2 linked regions of the Macaca mulatta genome follow. The protein of the gene in region 1 interacts with the protein of each later gene in a pairwise test. Links are inferred from orthologs where the notes say so. Each region holds a gene or a part of one and is shown on either strand. Other genes may lie near its edges. The genes, in order: MOAP1 and THOC1.

Region 1 (9,382 bases):
CCTAACTATACTTGGATCCCACTTTTCCACTCATGCCCTTTATCTGTTCCAAGATCCCTTCCAGGACACATTACATTTAGTTCACCACCTCTTTCCTTAATCTCTAGTCTGTGATCTGTGATGGTTTCTTTTTTTTTTCTTTCTTTCTTTCTTTTTTGAGGTGGAGGCTCACTCTGTCACCTAGGCCGGAGTACAGTGGCACAAACTCAGTTCACTGTAACCTCCACCTCTTGGGTTCAAGCAATTCTCCTGCCTCAGCTTCCCCAGTAGCTGGGATTACAGGTGCCCACCACCACGCCCAGCTAATTTTTCTATTTTTAGTAGAGACAGGGTTTCACCATGTTGGCCAGGCTGGTCTCAAACTCCTGACCTCAGGTGATCTGCCCGCCTTGGCCTCCCAAAGTGCTGGGATTACAGCGTGAGCCACCACGCCCAGTTGAAACATAGCTATTTAAGGGGAGTATATTTTATTTTATGTGATTCCATAAACATAACCTAAACAAAAATTATGTAGTGTTTACCAGATACATGTCAGAACACCTTAAGAACAGCTTTCTGGAATCAGACTATGAGCCCTTACCCCTGGCATTGAATCTCTCTGATCCTCAAGCTTCTCATCTGTCAAATGGGGAAATAGCAGGTTTCTGAATAAGGTAGCATAGAATACATTAAGATGGAACTCTGGAAATGTCTGAGCCTGCCGCTCACTAGCTGTGAAACCCTGGGCAAGTTTCTTAGCTTCTCAGTCTCATCTGTAAAACAGGAAAAATCAAGGACTGAGCTCATTGTAGGACCAAATGTGTTCACTGGTGCTCAGTATCTGCTGTTCAACACCAGCTATCATCACTGACCCTGAACAGACCTCCAGGGCAGGGATTGTAGTCTAAATCTAATGACACAGTCTTAAGCCCTCAGCTCAGTGCCTCACATATGGAGAGGTGCAACCTGTATTAACACCCATGGGTGCACACATTCGCCATGTCTGCTTCCCACTACTGAAGGGGCAAGTGAGCGGCCCGTGTCACAATGCCTTGTACACTCCAAATGACTACACAAATATAAACAAGATCAGAATTACACCTTCTAATCTATTCAGAGTCCATATATCATCTAATATTTATCTTTCCATCGTGGAAGAATTTATGGGAACCTAATCATGACATTTAGTCATAACACAAACATTATACCATGCCTTTGAATCTAAAACCAAGGTGCACATTCCAAATTTGGGTACTTTATGAAATACTTTATCCTACCTTTCAGCAATTGTTAACCATGCTTTTTTTTTTTTTTTTAAGGTAAAAGATAACCCATGCCACCTGCCCAGGTCTTATAGATTCTCATATTCTCCACTGCTAAGTGTCTAATTTGCAGTAGGTTTCTGATCCAGAATAACGTGTAGCTGACTCTTGAGCAACAGGAGCTTGAACTACACAGGTCCACTTATCCACAGATTTTCTTCCGTCTCTGCCACCACTGAGACAGCAAGACCAACCCTCCTTTTCTCCCTCAGCCTGCTCAATGTGAAGATGACAACCAGGATGAAGACCTTTATGATGATGCACTTCTTTAATGAATTGTAAATATAGTTTCTCTTACAATTTTCTTCCCCCATTTTTTTTTTTTTGAGACACAGTCTCGCTCTGTTGCCCAGGCTGGAGTGCAGTGGTGCAATCTCAGCTCACTGCAACCTCTGCCTCCCAGGTTCAAGCGATTCTCCCGCCTCATTTCCCAAGTAGCTGGGGTTACAGGTGTGTGTGGGTTTCACCATGTTGGCCAGGCTGGTCTCAAACTCCTGAACTTAAGTGATCCACCTGCCTTGACCTCCCAAAGTGCTGGGATTGCAGGTGTGAACCACTGCACCCAGTCATATAATTTTAAGAACATTTTTTCTTTAGCTTACTTTAATATAGTATATAATACAAATAACATACAAAATATGTTAATCAACTTTCTGTTATTGGTAAGGCTTCCAGTCAGTAATAATAGTTACGTTTTTGAGGAATCAAAACTTATGTACAGATTGTGCAGTGGGCTGGCTCCCTGAAGCCCCAAGTTATTCAAGGGTCAACTGTACTCCCCTGCAATGCACATAAGATGGACATTTATGAAATGGAGCCAATGCCTGCCCTGCTTCCCTTGTGAGGCTAATGGGTATAGATACCCTGATGATTGCTTCTCTTTCTTGGCAGTAGAAAGAATATGGGCCTTGCAGAAAGAAAGAGGAGAGAATTCTGACCTAATCACTCACTACACTTACTACAGAGGATCAGAGGATAGAATTCTGGCCCAAGGATGTTTCACCTTGACTGAATTTCTTTTTTTTTTCTTTTTTTTTTTTTTTTGAGACGGAGTCTCGCTTTGCCCAGGCTGGAGTGCAGTGGCACGATCTTGGCTCACTGCAACCTCCGCCTCCCAGGTCCAAGAGATTCTCCTGCCTCAGCCTCCCGAGTAGCTGGGACTACAGGCGCCCACCACCACGCCTGGCTAATTTTTTTGTATTTTTAGTAGAGACGGGGTTTCACCGTGTTAGCCAGGATGGTCTCGATCTCCTGACCTCGTGATCTGCCCGCCTCAGCCTCCCAAAGTGCTGGGATTACAGGTGTGAGCCACCACACCAAATTTCTAAACTTTTGTGCCCATTTCCACAAGTGTGAAACTGAGTTTTCCTATATTGCAGGATTTTTTTTTTTTTTTTTTTTTTTTTTTAAGACAGGGTCTTGCTCTGTCACCCGGGTTGGAGTGCAGTGGTATGATCATGGCATGCTGCAGCCTTGACCTCCTGGCCTCAAGCAGTCCTCCAGCTTCAGCCTCCTGAGTAGCAGGGACTGCAGGTGCACACCACCATGCCCGGCTAGTTAAAAAAATTTTTTTTTACATTACCCAGGCTGGTCTCCAACTCCTGGGTTCAAGCAATCTTCCTGCCTCAGCCTCTCAAAGTGCTAAGATTATACTGTTCAACCTTTTTCCAAGAGGACTAAATAAGAGAGTAAACGGAGAAACTTTTAGTCCAATCTTCCAAGCAGCAGCATGCAATGTTCATTTCTTTCCTTCTCCCTCCAAATTTGACACACTGATACATCTGCACTACTTGCACTAATTTGTGCACTGTCTTGTTTCACCCCATTGTTTTACTGCTTCAGTGGAAGCTCTCTTCACTTAGAAAACAGTTTCCTACCCCTGAGCACCAAGAGGAAAGAGTTCAAGGAACTAAGTCTGTGTAGGTCCAGTGGTTTGCAGATTCATGCTTTGGGAACTCTTTATTCAAATGAAATCTCTCCTGGAACCTTGATATAAACAAAACAGACAACGTCATTTTATTACCATTCCTTTATTTTAGAAGCTCACATCTATAATTTTATAACAATCGTGAAAATGTTACTCAGAACTAGATGTTTTGATGACACATAGCAGAAATCTGTAAAGATGGTCATTGAAACTTAACCAATCTCAGCATTCTATTCCGCCTTTTGTTTTGATTGCACAGAATCAATATAATTTTGATTCATACAGAAAATAACTTAGTATCTTAACCTCCACTCAGGATCTTCATCATAAATGTAGGTCAATACATACCTAAAAACTGTCAATGATCCAACATGATCACATGTGACATGCTACACTTGTGCCTCGTACCAAACAAGCTGATATTTCAATGAGATCTGGTCAGCATATACACCCGAGCCTTGTCTGTCCTCTCAGAGCACTGCACACAGGTAGTGAAAGAACTTTTGTACAATAAGAAATTCACAGGGATGAGGCCGGGCGCAGTGGCTCACACCTGTAATCCCAGCACTTTCGGAGGCTGACGCAGGTGGATCACTCGAGGTCAGGAGTTCGAAATTAGCCTGGCCAACATGGTGAAACCCTGTCTCTACTGAAAATGCAAAACTTAGCTGGGCGTGGTGGCACGAGTAGTCCCAGCTACTCGGGAGACTGAGGCAGGAGAATAGCTTAAACCCGGGAGGTGGAGGGTGCAGTGAGCCAAGATCGCGCCACTGCACTCCAGCCTGGGTGAGCACGAGACTCTGTCCCTACAACAACAACAAAGATATTCACAAGGATGAATTTAAATAGGTAAACAGCAGTGTAGAACTACATCCTTCCTAGTCAATTACACCTTTAGGAGACTTTAAATAGGCATAGAAACGACAAAGGGCTTATACTGAGAATTGCACAAAAATGAGTTACTTGGCAGCACAAGGTAGGGATTGTATGTGTCAAAGAGTATATAGACTGTTCTACCTTCATGCTCTACTCATTGCCATATCCCTTCGTGATTCCCTGAGACTCAGGTGAAATGCCCTTCTAATACTTCCTGGAGAAGGGCCTCCTCCTCCTCAGCTGCCTCGTAATCCTTTATTAGTACCAGTAACTGCAAGAAACCAGGGGCTGGGCCATCCTCTGGCAGATTAAGCTCTCTGCGAATTGTTTTGTGGACTGCGCCAGCAATGACTTGGTCTAGGCGGGCCTGATTCACAGCATCTCTCTCAATTGCTCCTCTCTGTACCAGCTTCTGTAACAAAGGCTCCAGCCTTAGTACATAAGCCGACAACTTTTCCTCATCCTTCTGATAAGTGGTTAGATATTTGACCTGCAACTCTCTAGGATTATCTGTAACCCCAAATACCTCCTCAAGAGCCTGCAGGCATTCATCGACAGTAATTAAAGGATTGTTTATCTTGAGGACACGAATAACATCAAGTGCTGGGCCTCGAAGGCTCTCTAGCAATCGCCTTCTCTTCTCTACATCTGGCACCTGCCACGCCTTTATCATCTGAGTAGTATGAAACATCCAGCGTCCAAATTCTTCTTCTCCTGGTTCTGGAGGCTCCCTGCCCGAGAACACTCTCAGCTTTTTATACTTCAAGCATTGCAGGGCAGGCTGAAGAGCCTCTAATGCCTGTGCCAACATAGGGGCCCACATTTCTGGGATCATGCCCTGCTCTAGGTCTAAGGAGCCATTTTCATGTGCAAGAGCTCTGGTCAACTCACCCACTGTCATGCCCTCTCCCGCTAAAAATTCATTTAATCTGCTTAAAAATGTATTATCAGAGTCAGGGGGCTTAAAGATCACTCTCCAGATACCCCCTTTTCCCGGTATCTCCTTAGGGACCAGTGCGTGACTAGTCTCCGCAGTAAGACCTACTAAGGCTACTTTCCTGTTCTCATCCCTCCTGAACATCCTTCCAAGCAGTCTGTACTCCCCCAAGGGAGCTAAACCAGCCTGCAGAGCCTCCTCGATTTCTGCCACACTGCAGCTCTGGGAGATGCCGGCAATCAACAGCGCTTTCCGAGGGTTCATGTCCATCCCCCTGCACCAGTCTTCCAAAAGCCTCAAAGTCATGGTGCCCGAAATAATACACTTAAGTTCTAAATATTCCAGACCACAGGCGGCCACTGCAATTCAAAGTAATCCTCCGCGGTACCTCAGGGAAATCTCGTCAACGTGCCGAGGTCCAGCAGCCTGCAAAACACAGCAGACAGGTTAGCTAAGGGTGCCAACGTCCAAGGCACGCGTGCAGGCCCCAAGCCCCGCGCGCCCTGCCCCCCGCGGCGACTCCAGGGCCGCCGCACTGCGGCGCGCGCCCCTCACCCCTCCCAGCCCTGGTGCCTGGCGGATGTCGGGCCTGCAGGGCCTCTCCGGGCCAGCTTCCACTCACCGTAATCTAGTGCTCGGTGCCCGCGTCCGTGCGCCGGCGGCGGAGGTGCCTGGCCGGGCCCCGACGAGGTGCGGGAGGGCGGGCTCCCCTAGGCTCGGACGGACACTCAGGGGCCAAAGCGACTGATGCCGGTCCTCCAGGTGCTTGTGATGCTCTCCGTAGCAAGAAGTGATCGGGCGATGACAGTCGCGATCGGGCACCGGGAGGAAAGGCTGAGGAGCGCTGAGTCGCCAGACCCAGACAGCCGCCCACCTGAAGGGACGTGCCGCCACCCGCGCAGCTAGACCCCCAGCTCCAGCGCGGATTCCAGCTGTTTGGGTCTCGCTGGGGGAAGCTGCGCGGCGGGCGGGGGCGATCTGACGTCATGAGGGGGGGCGGGCCTCTGGGGGGCGGGGCGCGCGCGCTTCCGGCCCGAGCCGGAAGCCCGGACTGCGGCGGCATCCGGGACGGCGGGCGGGCTGGCCACCCGGGACAGGAAGGTGAGATCCGGGACCTTAGCTTTGCAGGCAGGCTCTGCCGGCGGCCGCTGACTGGCGCTGGGCTCGCGACGCTGCAGGGCTGCGAGGCCCGGGCCTGGCGCAGTCAGCACAACCCTGGTCGCTGCGTGCCGGCGCTGCAGCGCGGCAGGGGGCGGGGCCGGCCGCCTGGAGGCCCTTTTGGCGGGGACGCCTCCCGGCCGGGTCAGGTCCCCATAGCGGGTCTCCGGCGGCGGCGACGGGGGCCGGGCCGCGCGTGACCCGCCGCAGTCACGCCGTTCTTAATCACTAGTAGCTGGTGCTCCAGGCTGGCGGCGCTCACCTTTCTCCTAGCCGGGTGACCCAGGGGATTTATTTTATGGTGGCTTTCTCTGAAATGCCAAAGCCACCCGATTATTCAGAGCTGAATGACTCTTTAACGCTTGCCGTGGGAACAGGAAGATTTTCGGGACCACTGTAAGTGCTTAGGAGTTACTGTCTTAACTTGGGGGCTTGACTTGTAGCACCCCGCGTTCACATCTGAAGCAGTACTGTAAAGCCGAAAGTGTTTCACCTGTCAAAGTGAAAAGTGCTGTGGGAAACTAGTTTAATTCCAGTTTCTGGAGGGCGGGTATTATGGACCTGTTTAAGTAGGATGCAGTGATTTATTCTGAGATTCCCGTTAAAAAGCAGAACTCAGTATATACTGAAATCAATGGTTATTTTGTTTTTGTTTTTTTATTGTAACTATTACACAAAACCTGTAAGTTTTACATTTCTTAATAGGCGTTTAATTATTTTAAATCTTAAGTGTGTTAGTGGGATGCTTTCGAATTTAATTTTATTTTTTTGAGACGGAGTCTCGCTCTGTCGTCCAGGCTGGAGTGCAGTGGCGCGATTTCGGCTCACTGCAAGCTCTGCCTCCCGGGTTCACGCCATTCTCCTGCCTCAGCCTCCCGAGTACCTGGGACTACAGGCGCCCGCCACCACGCCCAGCTAATTTTTTGTATTTTTAGTAGAGAAGGGTTTCACCATGTTAGCCAGGATGGTCTCAATCTCCTGACCTCGTGATTCGCCCGCCTCGGCCTCCCAAAGTGCTGGGATTACAGTTGTGAGCCACCGCGCCCGACCTAGAATTCTTGGAGATAAAGCAAGTACATTTGGAGTAGTTGCGGTGACAGTACTACAAGACCCTAATTGTATTTTCTTTTTTAATTTGAAGGCACAGAGCATGGAGAATGATGAATTTCCGTCAGCGGATGGGATGGATTGGAGTGGGATTGTATCTGTTAGCAAGTGCAGCAGCATTTTACTATGTTTTTGAAATCAATGAGACTTACAATAGGCTGGCCTTGGAACACATTCAACAGCACCCTGAGGAGCCCCTTGAAGGAACCACATGGACACACTCCTTGAAAGCTCGATTACTCTCCTTGCCTTTTTGGTTGTGGACAATTATTTTTCTGGTACCTTACTTACAGATGTTTTTGTTCCTATACTCTTGTACAAGAGCTGATCCCAAAACAGTGGGCTACTGTATCATCCCTATATGCTTGGCAGTTATTTGCAATCGCCACCAGGCATTTGTCAAGGCTTCTAATCAGATCAGCAGACTACAACTGATTGACACATAAAATCAGTCACCGTTTTTTCCCTACGATTACAAAACTGCCAGTCCTATATGGAGTCTGATCACAAGACTGCAGTTTCTTCACAGATCTCAGGAAGTTGTGGTGGGGCAGAGGCTTTTTAAAAACATGTGATCAGGGGGCTATCTTTATCTGAATAATAATGAATTTTTAGGTAAAACCTGAGATAGAGTACTACAAAATCATGTTGATGACTTCAGATTTTGGAAGTTAAATCGTGTCTGTTATTTGCATTCTTTAGAAACTTGACTGAGTACCTGAATTCATATTTCTATTCTACTGTGCAACATAGTGATGATTCAGAAATTTTTCCTTTGGGGAAAAAAAATGAATATGAACATTTCCATTGTGTTAAGTGTAAAAAGGTCCAGACATGATCATAAAATTTAAATTTTATACAATTACTTGGCTTGCTTTAAATTCTTCACACTTAAAACACCGATTCATTCTATTGCAGCTAAGCCAGCTGTTTATACTTGCTGTCAGCTTATGAGACATTGCTAAAAAAAGTATTAAGGTAATGGCTGTCTTGATAAGCAGAATTTGTTCTTCCTCTTGGTAATGGCTAGCTAAATTATTATTAGTGCTTTTAATGGTTTTATTTTTTATATTTTTCTTTTTTGTGGAGAATGAGGTCTCGCCACGTTGCCCAGGCAGGTCTCGAACTCCTGGGCTCAAGCTTTCCTCCCCTCTAGCACTCCCTAAGTGCTAGGATTACTGGCGTGGCTCCCATGCCCAGCTATTTTTAATTAAAAAAATTTTTTTTTCCATGGCTTGTGACACAGCCTCAGGAGGCCCTGAGAACATGTGCCCCATTGCTACTAGTTTAGAAAACTATTTGGGAAGAGACTAAATGGTAAATGTTGAAAGGCTAGAAATAACTTACAAATAGAAGATGGAAACAATGTGTTCAATGAAAATAAGCAGGTTATTAATTAATTAATTAAAATTATTATTTTTTTTGAGACGGAGCCTTGCTCTGTCACCCAGGATGGAGTGCAGTGGTGCATTCTCGGCTCACTGAAACCTTTGGCTTACTGCAACCTCTACCTCCCCGGTTTAAGAGATTCTCTTGCCTCAGCCTCCTGAGTAGCTGGGATTACAGGTGACTGCCCCTACGCCTGGCTAATTTCTGTTATTTTAGTAGAGAGGGTTACAGCATGTTGGCCAGGCTGTTCTCAAACTCCTCACCCAAGGTAATCCGCCTGTGTCAGCCTCCCAAAGGCCTGGGATTACAGGCATGAGCCACCATGCCCAGCTGTATTTTATTTATTTATTTATTTATTTATTTATTTATTTATTTATTTATTTATTTTGAGACGGAGTCTCGCTCTGTCACCCAGGCTGGTGTACAGTAGTGCGATCTCAGCTCACTGCAACCTCCGCCTCCCAGGTTCACACTATTCTCCTGCCTCAGCCTCCCAAGTAGCTGGGATTACAGGCACCCGCCACCATGCCCGGCTAATTTTTGTATTTTTTAGTAGAGATGGGGTTTCACCATGTTGGCCAGGCTGGTCTCGAACTCCTGACCTCAAGTGATCCGTCTCAGCCTCCCAAAGTACTAGGATAACAGGCATGAGCCACCACGCCCAGCCTATAACAGGTAATTTAGTCC
Region 2 (8,693 bases), on another chromosome or scaffold:
CAATTCTGATTCAAAAATGATTCTTTCCTTTACTTCCATTGAAAGGCATTGGGCAAGTTATTTTCCTTTTCTGTGCTTCAGTTTCTTTTGAAAGAGGGGAAATACCGTTCTTTCAGTGTTATTGTATATGAAACAGCACTTAATGAACGCTCAGTAAATGCTGGTTATTATAATTTTATAAAACCTAAGCACTGCCTTCCTTCTATTAAAACCACCCCTCAGACACATGGGTGTATTAGTAGTTAATTCCCCTAGCCCTGCCTTTGCCCTGTGCTACCGGCTGAGTTATGGCTTCAGCACTTCTGTCCTTGATTAGCTTATAGCCTTCATCTTACCAATATAACCATTTTCCTGAGACCATTGGATTTTGAATGAGTCACCTACCTGTTACTTGACATACTTCTACAACTACTGATTCTATATGTTACTGTTAAATTTTTGTAACTTCATATTAGAAGATATTTTCTATAAGAAATGTAGTATTCCGTATTTGTGATAGTCAATATAATATCAGAGTACATGTGTTTACTGTTACCAAGTTTAGTCTGAACTCTTGCCCCTAAATTAAATTGTTTCTCCTCTGTTGGTAGATAAATCATTCATCATGTGAAAACGTTTTAGCTATTATTTCTCTTGCTATTGGGGGAGTAACTGAAGGTAAGTATGGTTCTGTTTTGTTTTGTTTAAAGTAGTCTTGGACATGACATGCTTTATTTAAAACGTCTTCTCCCCATACTTCTCCACATCTGATTTTGTTTATTCTTCAAGTTCTACCTGACTCCCAGCTTTGCCAAGAAGTCCCAATTGAATTAGTTCACTCTTATTTCTCATCTCTATTATGCAGTGCACATTTTGGCACTTGCTTTGTCCTCCAGTTGTTTTGTTCATTCAGTAAATCTTTATTGAGCATCTACTATGTGCCTGGTACTGAGCTAGGACCTGGAGATTCAATGGTGAATAAAACATATTCCCCTGCTTATGTGGAGCTAATGGAAGAAACAGATGTATGCATACCTTACTTTGGTGTAAGTACTATGGTCGAAGTGGGAATGAAGTGTAGTTAGAGGGAATAGAGCCAACATGTCTCTCTAAACTTCAGTCTAAAGGAATCAGGAGAGATTTTAGAAAAGAACATGAGAACTAGAATGTGAAGTATGAAGAATTTGTCAGACATACTAAGAAGGGAGTAGCTAGAGAATTGTGTAGAGCAGGAGGAGGAGAGGACAATGAGAATGATGAGGAAAGAAGCTGGTTAGGTCCATTTATAAAGGGCATTAGGTGCCATACTAAAGAGCAGCTGCAGATGAATGATTCCATTTGAAGTGACTGCTGGCAGGAAAACTGGGCAGGGGCCTGTTAAAATGGCTGTATGCGATAGCTTTAGAAGACTGGGTAAACAGTGCACATAGTACACAGTGCCTGACACATAATGGGAGCTCATTAAATACTTGCAGAAAGAAGAAATTAAAAATTAATTTATCAGCATTCTTCTTTAACCATTTGGTTAAAATACTCATTTGATTAATTCAGATAATGTATATGAAAACTCCTTTTTAATCTGTAAAGCATTATTCACATTATGTGTTATTTTGATGCTTCTATTAAAAACTGGCACACACCTCCCAGTATAGGGGCAAACTATTTTGTGAACTTAAGTTCATAAATTCACGTTGTTAAACTTTTATACAAGTTGCCTAATCATTCATTCATTCATTAGGCATTGTTAGATAAGTTCCACAATGCAATGTTCCTGTCTAGTTTCTGTCAATTTTCAGTGTGTCCTTAGTTCATTGATTAACTTTATACATTACTCTTGTACAGCTGGTGATGTTTTTAATGAAGAAGTTGTACAAAGTCTAGTCTATACTTGGAACTTTTGAGAAGGATAAGGACTTAAGAGCTTAAACTGTAAAGGTATAAATGCATTTTTATTTTAGGGAGAATTTTTGTTTTTGAGACAGATTATAATTGTTTGCTTATGTGACATGTTTTTAAATTATCCATAAATATATTTTGTTAAATTCAATTTGGCCGATATTTATTGAGCTTCTGTTTGGTGTGAGACACTACTGGTTAAAGCGTATGAAAATGCCTAACCTTAAAAAGCTCATAGTCTACATTCAAAGGTCACTGGTTAGGATGTGCCAAATGCTACAGTGTATTTATGTAGAGTGTGTTTCAAAAGCATAGATGAAGTAGCCTGCTTCAAGATACCAGAGTTATTTAGATGAGCAGACATTCACTCTATGCTTAGAAAGATGGAGTTGAAATTTACCATGTGGTAAAAAGGAGGAAGAGTATTTACACAGAAAACAACATTGTAAACAAAACCATGGAAGGATGAACATGTCATGGTGTTTGGGAGCTGCGGAGTGGGAACTAGGGAGGGATGTCTGTGGCCCAGGTAAGGGTAGAGAGAGATTGGTGTGGAAGCTGGGACACAGGTTGTGAAAGCTCTTGGGGGAATCACACTGTAACCCAGTGGTTCCCAGACTTGCTGGCTCATCAGAACCACCAGTGAATCTATTTTTAGATGAGATTCCCAAACCTTGCTTAGTTCTACTGACTCAGAATTTTGGTAGTAGAATCTAGAAAAAGTTCTCTAATTATTTAATGTGAGTTAACTTATTCCAGGCTGTACTGCAGCTAAGGGCAGAGAGTATGCTTCTCAAATCTCTTGGATGTGCAGGGTATATAATATTGAATCTAAGTATTGTTCGGGACTTTCGAGGTCACCTAGTCCCGTCTCATCTCTGGCCTAGACCGCTTCCCTGCTGTAACATCCCTGATGGGTGGTCATTCAGCCTCTGCTGAATCATGCTCATTAGTGGAGGTCACTGTTTGAGTCCTGTTAGACAAGTGTGGTTATTGGTGTGTTCCCTTGTATTGAGTTGAAATCTGCTGTTTTATTCCACCACTGCTTTTCGGCAATATCCCTCACATCACATTCCAGATATGATCTTACTAGTGCAGAGTACAGCTGGAAAGATTTCTTCCTTTTTCTAGATATAGTGTATTAATGCACTGTTTTGGACTTAGATCACCCTAGATATTTTTCCCCATATACCATGCCTAAGTAACTACTTTTCTTAAACACTTATGAGTGTTAGTAAGTACCCATTGCCTTAAAATAGAAGGAAGGATGAGTAGGGATATAAAAGTATTTCTAGGTAGTCTGAATAGACTAAATAGACCTTTTCTTAAGAATATCTTAATTTTGTTGTTCTTTAAACAGTAACTTTCTACTTTTCCATTCTTTCCCCTGAAACAATACTGTTATTTTAAATGTTAAATCATAGTTAATATCAAACCTTGTTATTTTTTGAAGATAATCTTTTCAAATCACAAAGACAATTTAGCAACACTACAAAACATTTGGAAATGAGAAAAAGGGAAAACAGTACTCATAATTCCTCTACTTTTAAAAACCATTCATCTGGTATAATGGTTTTAGTTTCTATAGTCTTTTAAGAATTTTTTTATTGTCATAATCATATGTACATACAATTTTGAATCCTGCCTTTTTCACTTAGCATTATATCCTAAGCATTTTTCCAAGTTATTATAGTCGTTATAACCATCGTTTTTAATTGGCTGCATTATATTCTTTTGAATAGCTTAGTGGTGAAGAAAACAGACTGTGGAGCCAGACTGCCTGGGTTCGTATCCCAGCTCTGCCACTTACTGGCTCTGTGATCTTGGGCAAGTTATTTAACCTCTCTGTGTCTCAATTTTCCCATTCTATAAAATGCAAATAATGATATGCTCTACTTCATAGGGTTATAAGGATTAAATGTGTTAGTATATGTAAAGTACTTAGTGTGCCTGACATATAGTAAATGCTCTAGATCTTGTCAAGAATTATTGTCATCATTACTGAGTGCACATATCAAAAATTACTTAAATATGTCCTGTTTGGGGACTTGTAGGCTGCTTCCACTTCTTGTCCTTTTAAAACTTTGTTATGAGTAACAAAGTGTACCTTTTAAGATATTCTTCAGTATTATTTTTCATAGGCTGTTTTACTCTAATGTTTTTTTAAACTTTTAAACTGGCTTGTGCTCCACTTGAAGGTATTTGTACCGCATCTACACCTTTTGTATTGTTGGGAGATGTTTTGGATTGTCTTCCTTTGGATCAGTGTGACACAATATTCACTTTTGTGGAAAAAAATGTTGCTACTTGGAAATCAGTAAGTGCCTTAGTTTCTTTTCCTGCTAACTTTGTATTTCTGTAGATTCAGAGTTCTGAGGGTAGATTTAAAAAAAGAAATTATTTGTAGTATTGCTGATCGCCAACAAGTTTGTGCCTATGAAAAAATTATATACTGCTCTCTTGGGAGAGCCAAGTAAAAACCATGTGTGGAGAAAAACTTGAAATACAAAATTTGATTTAATTTGAGTAATAAAAACTAACTTGAAAATTCACACTTTCACATGTTAAAAACAGTATCATGTTTTCTTATCTTATATCTGAAAATATTTTCATTTCATTGAAAATGTTATTTACTTTAAAAAAGTGTAAGTGGCATAGTAGATTCTCAGTGCATGTTAGTGTTCTTTAATATTTTACTTCCTGCAACTTATTGAAGAATGTGTAACAAGTTCAGAAGAAGAGTGATAATTTCCATCTTAATTTCAGAATACATTCTATTCTGCTGGGAAAAATTACTTACTACGTATGTGCAATGGTAAGTAATTGAGTGATTAAATGATAGCTTTTTAAAATGTAAATATGCCCAGAAAAACATGTGGTTGAATTAAATACCAGTGATAACATTTTAAAAATAGATTAGGTATTTGTATTTTTAACTAACAATCGGATTTATTAGAACTCATTCACTTTAAGCTGTTTTTGTTCTGGGCATAAACTTAATGAAAGTCAGAAACATGTAGTAAAGTTTGTCTTTTTCATGTCATGTTGAACTTGTTTTGTTCCTAATTTCTAGTACTTTTTTGTGGCAGTGGTTTCTGCCCCCATTTTAAGAACTACTGCTTTAGGAAAATACTCTCGACAAACTGGTTTAGAAACTTTTAGGTATGGTTGTAATAAACATAGAATTATCTTTTCTGTGTAACGTTCATTTTCATATATCATTAGATCTCCTAAGAAGATTGTCTAAATCCCAGAATACAGTCTTCTGTGGACGGATTCAGCTCTTTTTGGCCAGGCTTTTCCCACTGTCTGAGAAATCAGGTAAGCTTTTATGCGTTAAATGAGTTTTCTGCAGGAAAATCTTTTCCAGTTTTTAATAGATTAAAATCTGTCATGATAATGAGAAAAATGGTTCTAAAAAGTTGAAAGACATCATAGAAATTGTCACTTTATTTTCTTTTACTTATAAATAGTTATAGCAGTCCTAGTATATAATACAGGTAATCTTGAAACAAAGTCATGGATTCTTTTAAGTTCAAAGCTTATTAACGTACAGTTGAATCATACTGAAACATGTAGATATAAACCGTCACATCTATATTTCGTAATGTATGCCTATTTTTGTGTTTCCATTTTCTCTCTCAGTCACGACTACTTAGCTATATAGACTTCCTTTCATTTCTCTTTTTTAACAGATTTTTATTGTGAAATATAATGCTTATATAGAAAAGTACATAAAGCAAATAATAATGAAACAAATACTGTATAACCACTCTGTAGCTCCTGAAATGGGACATTGCTTATTCTCCAGAGCCTTCCCCCTCCCCAGTCGGTTCAGATATGCGAGATTTTAATATCTCATTGCTTCAGTTCTCTTTTTCTTAATGCTGGGCTAATATACCACCTATTTTATATGTTGTGAGGATTAAATGAATTAAAACACGTGAAGAGCTTACAGTAGTGCCTGAGTATGGTTAGTATACACATATGTCTTTCCTAGCTCTGGTCTCTGAGAGGGCCGCAGAAGTAGTGATACTCCAGTAGCAATGAGCACATCTTCTCAAATGTAGATCATGAGGTCAGGAGATCGAGACCATCCTGGCTAACCCGGTGAAACCCCGTCTCTACTAAAAAATACAAAAAACTAGCCAGGCGAGGTGGCGGGCGCCTGTAGTCCCAGCTACTTGGGAGGCTGAGGCAGGAGAATGGCGTAAACCCGGGAGGCGGAGCTTGCAGTGAGCTGAGATCCGGCCACTGCACTCCAGCCTGGGCGACAGAGCGAGACTCCGTCTCAGGAAAGAAAGAAAAAAAAATCACTATGGTAGCTATAGCCTCATGAAATGTATTTCTTAGATAACAGGACTTGAAAGTTGAAATAACCCTTTGATTCATTGGCTACAAAATGGATGATGTATTAGCAGGCATGAAAACAACATTAATTTCCTTGTGCATCTCCATCAAAGCTCTTGGGTGACCAGGTGCATTGTGAATAAGCAATAACATTGTGAAAGGAGATCTTTTTTTTTCTGAGCAGTAAGTCTCAACAGTGGCCTTAAAATGTTCAGTAAACCATGCTATAAACAGATGTGCTGTCATCAGGGTTTGTCTTTATGGATGGAGCCCAAGGCAGAGTAGATTTAGCATAATTCTCAGGAGCCCCAGGATTTTCAGAATGGTAAATGAACATTGGCTTCAACTTAAAGTCACCAGCTGCGTTAGCCTTAACAAGAAGGTCAGCCTGTTCCTTGAAGGCAGGCAGTGACTTCTCTCTAGCTATGAAAGTCCTGGACGGCATCTTTCAATATCAGAATGTTTCATCTGCATTGAAAAATCTGTTAAGTGTAGACGCCTTCATCAATGTTCTTAGCTAGATCTTCTGATAACTTACTGCAGCTTCTCCATTGGTAGTTGCTGCTTCACCTTGTACTGTTATGTTACAGAGAGGGCTTTTTTCTTTAAACCTCTTAAACCAATTTCTGCTAGCTTCATACTTTTCTTCTGTGGTCCTCACCTCTCAGCCTTCACAGAATTAAAGAGAGTTAAAGCTTTTCTCTGGCTAGTTTGCTTGTCTATCCAGACCACTTAGCCTTTCTCTGTATCAGCAGTAAGGCTGTTTTGCTTTCTTATCATTCATATGTTCACTGGAGTAGCACTTTTAACTTCCCTCAAGAACTTTATCTTTGCATTCACAACTTGGCTGTTAAGCACAAGAGAAATTTCAGCCTGTCTTGGCTTTTGATATGCTTTAATTACTAAGCTTAATCATTTCTAGGTTTTTATTTAAAGTGAGAGATGTGAGACTCTTCCCTTTACTTGACACTTAGAGTCCATTGTAGGATTCTTAGTTGGCCTAAATTCAATATTGTCTTGTCTCAGGGAATAAGGAGACCCAAGGGGAGAGAGAGAGTCATGGGAACAGTTGGTCAGTGAAGCAGTCAGAACACACACAGCATTTATTGATTAAATTTGCCATCTTACCAGCTTGGGCAACATGGCGAAAACCCATCTCTACTAAAAATACGAATAAATTTAGCCAAGCATGGTGGTGCTTGCCTGTAGTCCCAGCTACTTTGGAGGCTGAAGTGGGAGGATCATCTGAGCTTGGGAAGCTGAGCCTGCAGTGAGCCATGATCATGCCACTGCACTGCAGCCTGGGTGACAGGAGTGAGTCGCTGTCCAAAAAAGAAGGAAAAAAGTTTACTGTCTTAGATGGGTGCAGTTTGTGGCAAAAAACAAATCTGTGGCAAAAAACAATGACAATGCTAACCTCAAAGATCACTGATCACAGATCATCGTAACAGATATGATAATGAAAAAGTTTGAAATATTGTGAGAATTACCAAAATGTGACAGAGGAAGTGAGCATATGCTGTTGGAAAAATGGTGCTGATAGACTTGTATGGTACAGGGTTGCCATTCAATTTATTTAAAAAACAAGAAACTGTGAAGAGCAACAAAACAAGGTATGCCCATACTCCAAAGGTACTTTTAAGAAATGAAGTTTTGAAAGGATTTGAAAATCAAGTGTGTTCATTTTGACTGCTCTTTAATTATGGATTTAGCATTTTGTAGTTTTGATTATGACACAAGTTACATTCGTACGTAAGTTTAGGTGTCACTGGACTTGCTTTGAATCTTCTTTGGTTTTTTTTTTTACTAGGTCTTAACTTACAGAGTCAGTTTAATCTGGAAAATGTCACTGTTTTCAATACCAATGAGCAGGAAAGCACCCTGGGTCAGAAGGTGAGGCTGATTTGAAACCTTCTCAGATAACATATTTGCAGGTTTGTTATTAAGATAACTTATGTGGGGCCAGGCACAGTGGCTCACACTTGTAATCCCAGCACTTTGGGAGGCTGAGATGGGCAGATCACTTGAGCATAAGAGTTCAAGACCAGCCTGGGCAACATGGCAAATCCCCATTTCTACAAAAGAAGTACAATTAGCAGAGCATACCTGAGAGGCTGAGGTGGGAGAATCACCTGAGCCCAGGGAGGTCAAGCTGCAGTGAGCCTTGATCATGCCACTATACTCCAGCCTGGGTGACAGAGGGAGGCCCTGCCTCAAAAAAAAAAAAAAAAAAAAAAAAAAAAATTCATATAAACGAGCCTATAAGTCATCAAAAATTTAAAAACTTTTGACTTTATTTCCAACTTACAGAAATAATGTTTTGTATGTAAAAAATTCAAGCAGTGTTTAAAATAGACTGTACAGTTATTCTGTAATCCAAGGTAGACTATGGTAGATTGTGGCATAGCTTTCTATTAAAGTGGATTAACGAAGTAGCTGTACTTTCTGTTTTGATAGTGTTAATCATA

What was found.
Region 2: the proteins of MOAP1 (region 1) and THOC1 interact in binary tests that used the Homo sapiens proteins (3 or more experiments, as listed by UniProt). The two-hybrid records come from large-scale screens. The link is inferred for Macaca mulatta from reciprocal best matches to the Homo sapiens genes MOAP1 and THOC1.

The regions. Positions count from the first base shown.
Region 1 is NC_133412.1:166,431,176-166,440,557, forward strand, and holds MOAP1 (modulator of apoptosis 1), read right to left. Parts: upstream 5,980-9,382; 5' UTR 5,664-5,979; intron 5,468-5,663; 5' UTR 5,348-5,467; coding exon 4,292-5,347; 3' UTR 3,316-4,291; downstream 1-3,315. Other genes in the region: LYSET (lysosomal enzyme trafficking factor), read left to right, coding at 6,498-6,595, 7,341-7,752.
Region 2 is NC_133423.1:71,586,541-71,595,233, reverse strand, and holds part of THOC1 (THO complex subunit 1), read left to right. Parts: intron 1-590; coding exon 591-657; intron 658-4,073; coding exon 4,074-4,192; intron 4,193-4,641; coding exon 4,642-4,690; intron 4,691-5,100; coding exon 5,101-5,196; intron 5,197-8,035; coding exon 8,036-8,118; intron 8,119-8,693. UniProt on the Homo sapiens protein: Component of the THO subcomplex of the TREX complex which is thought to couple mRNA transcription, processing and nuclear export, and which specifically associates with spliced mRNA and not with unspliced pre-mRNA.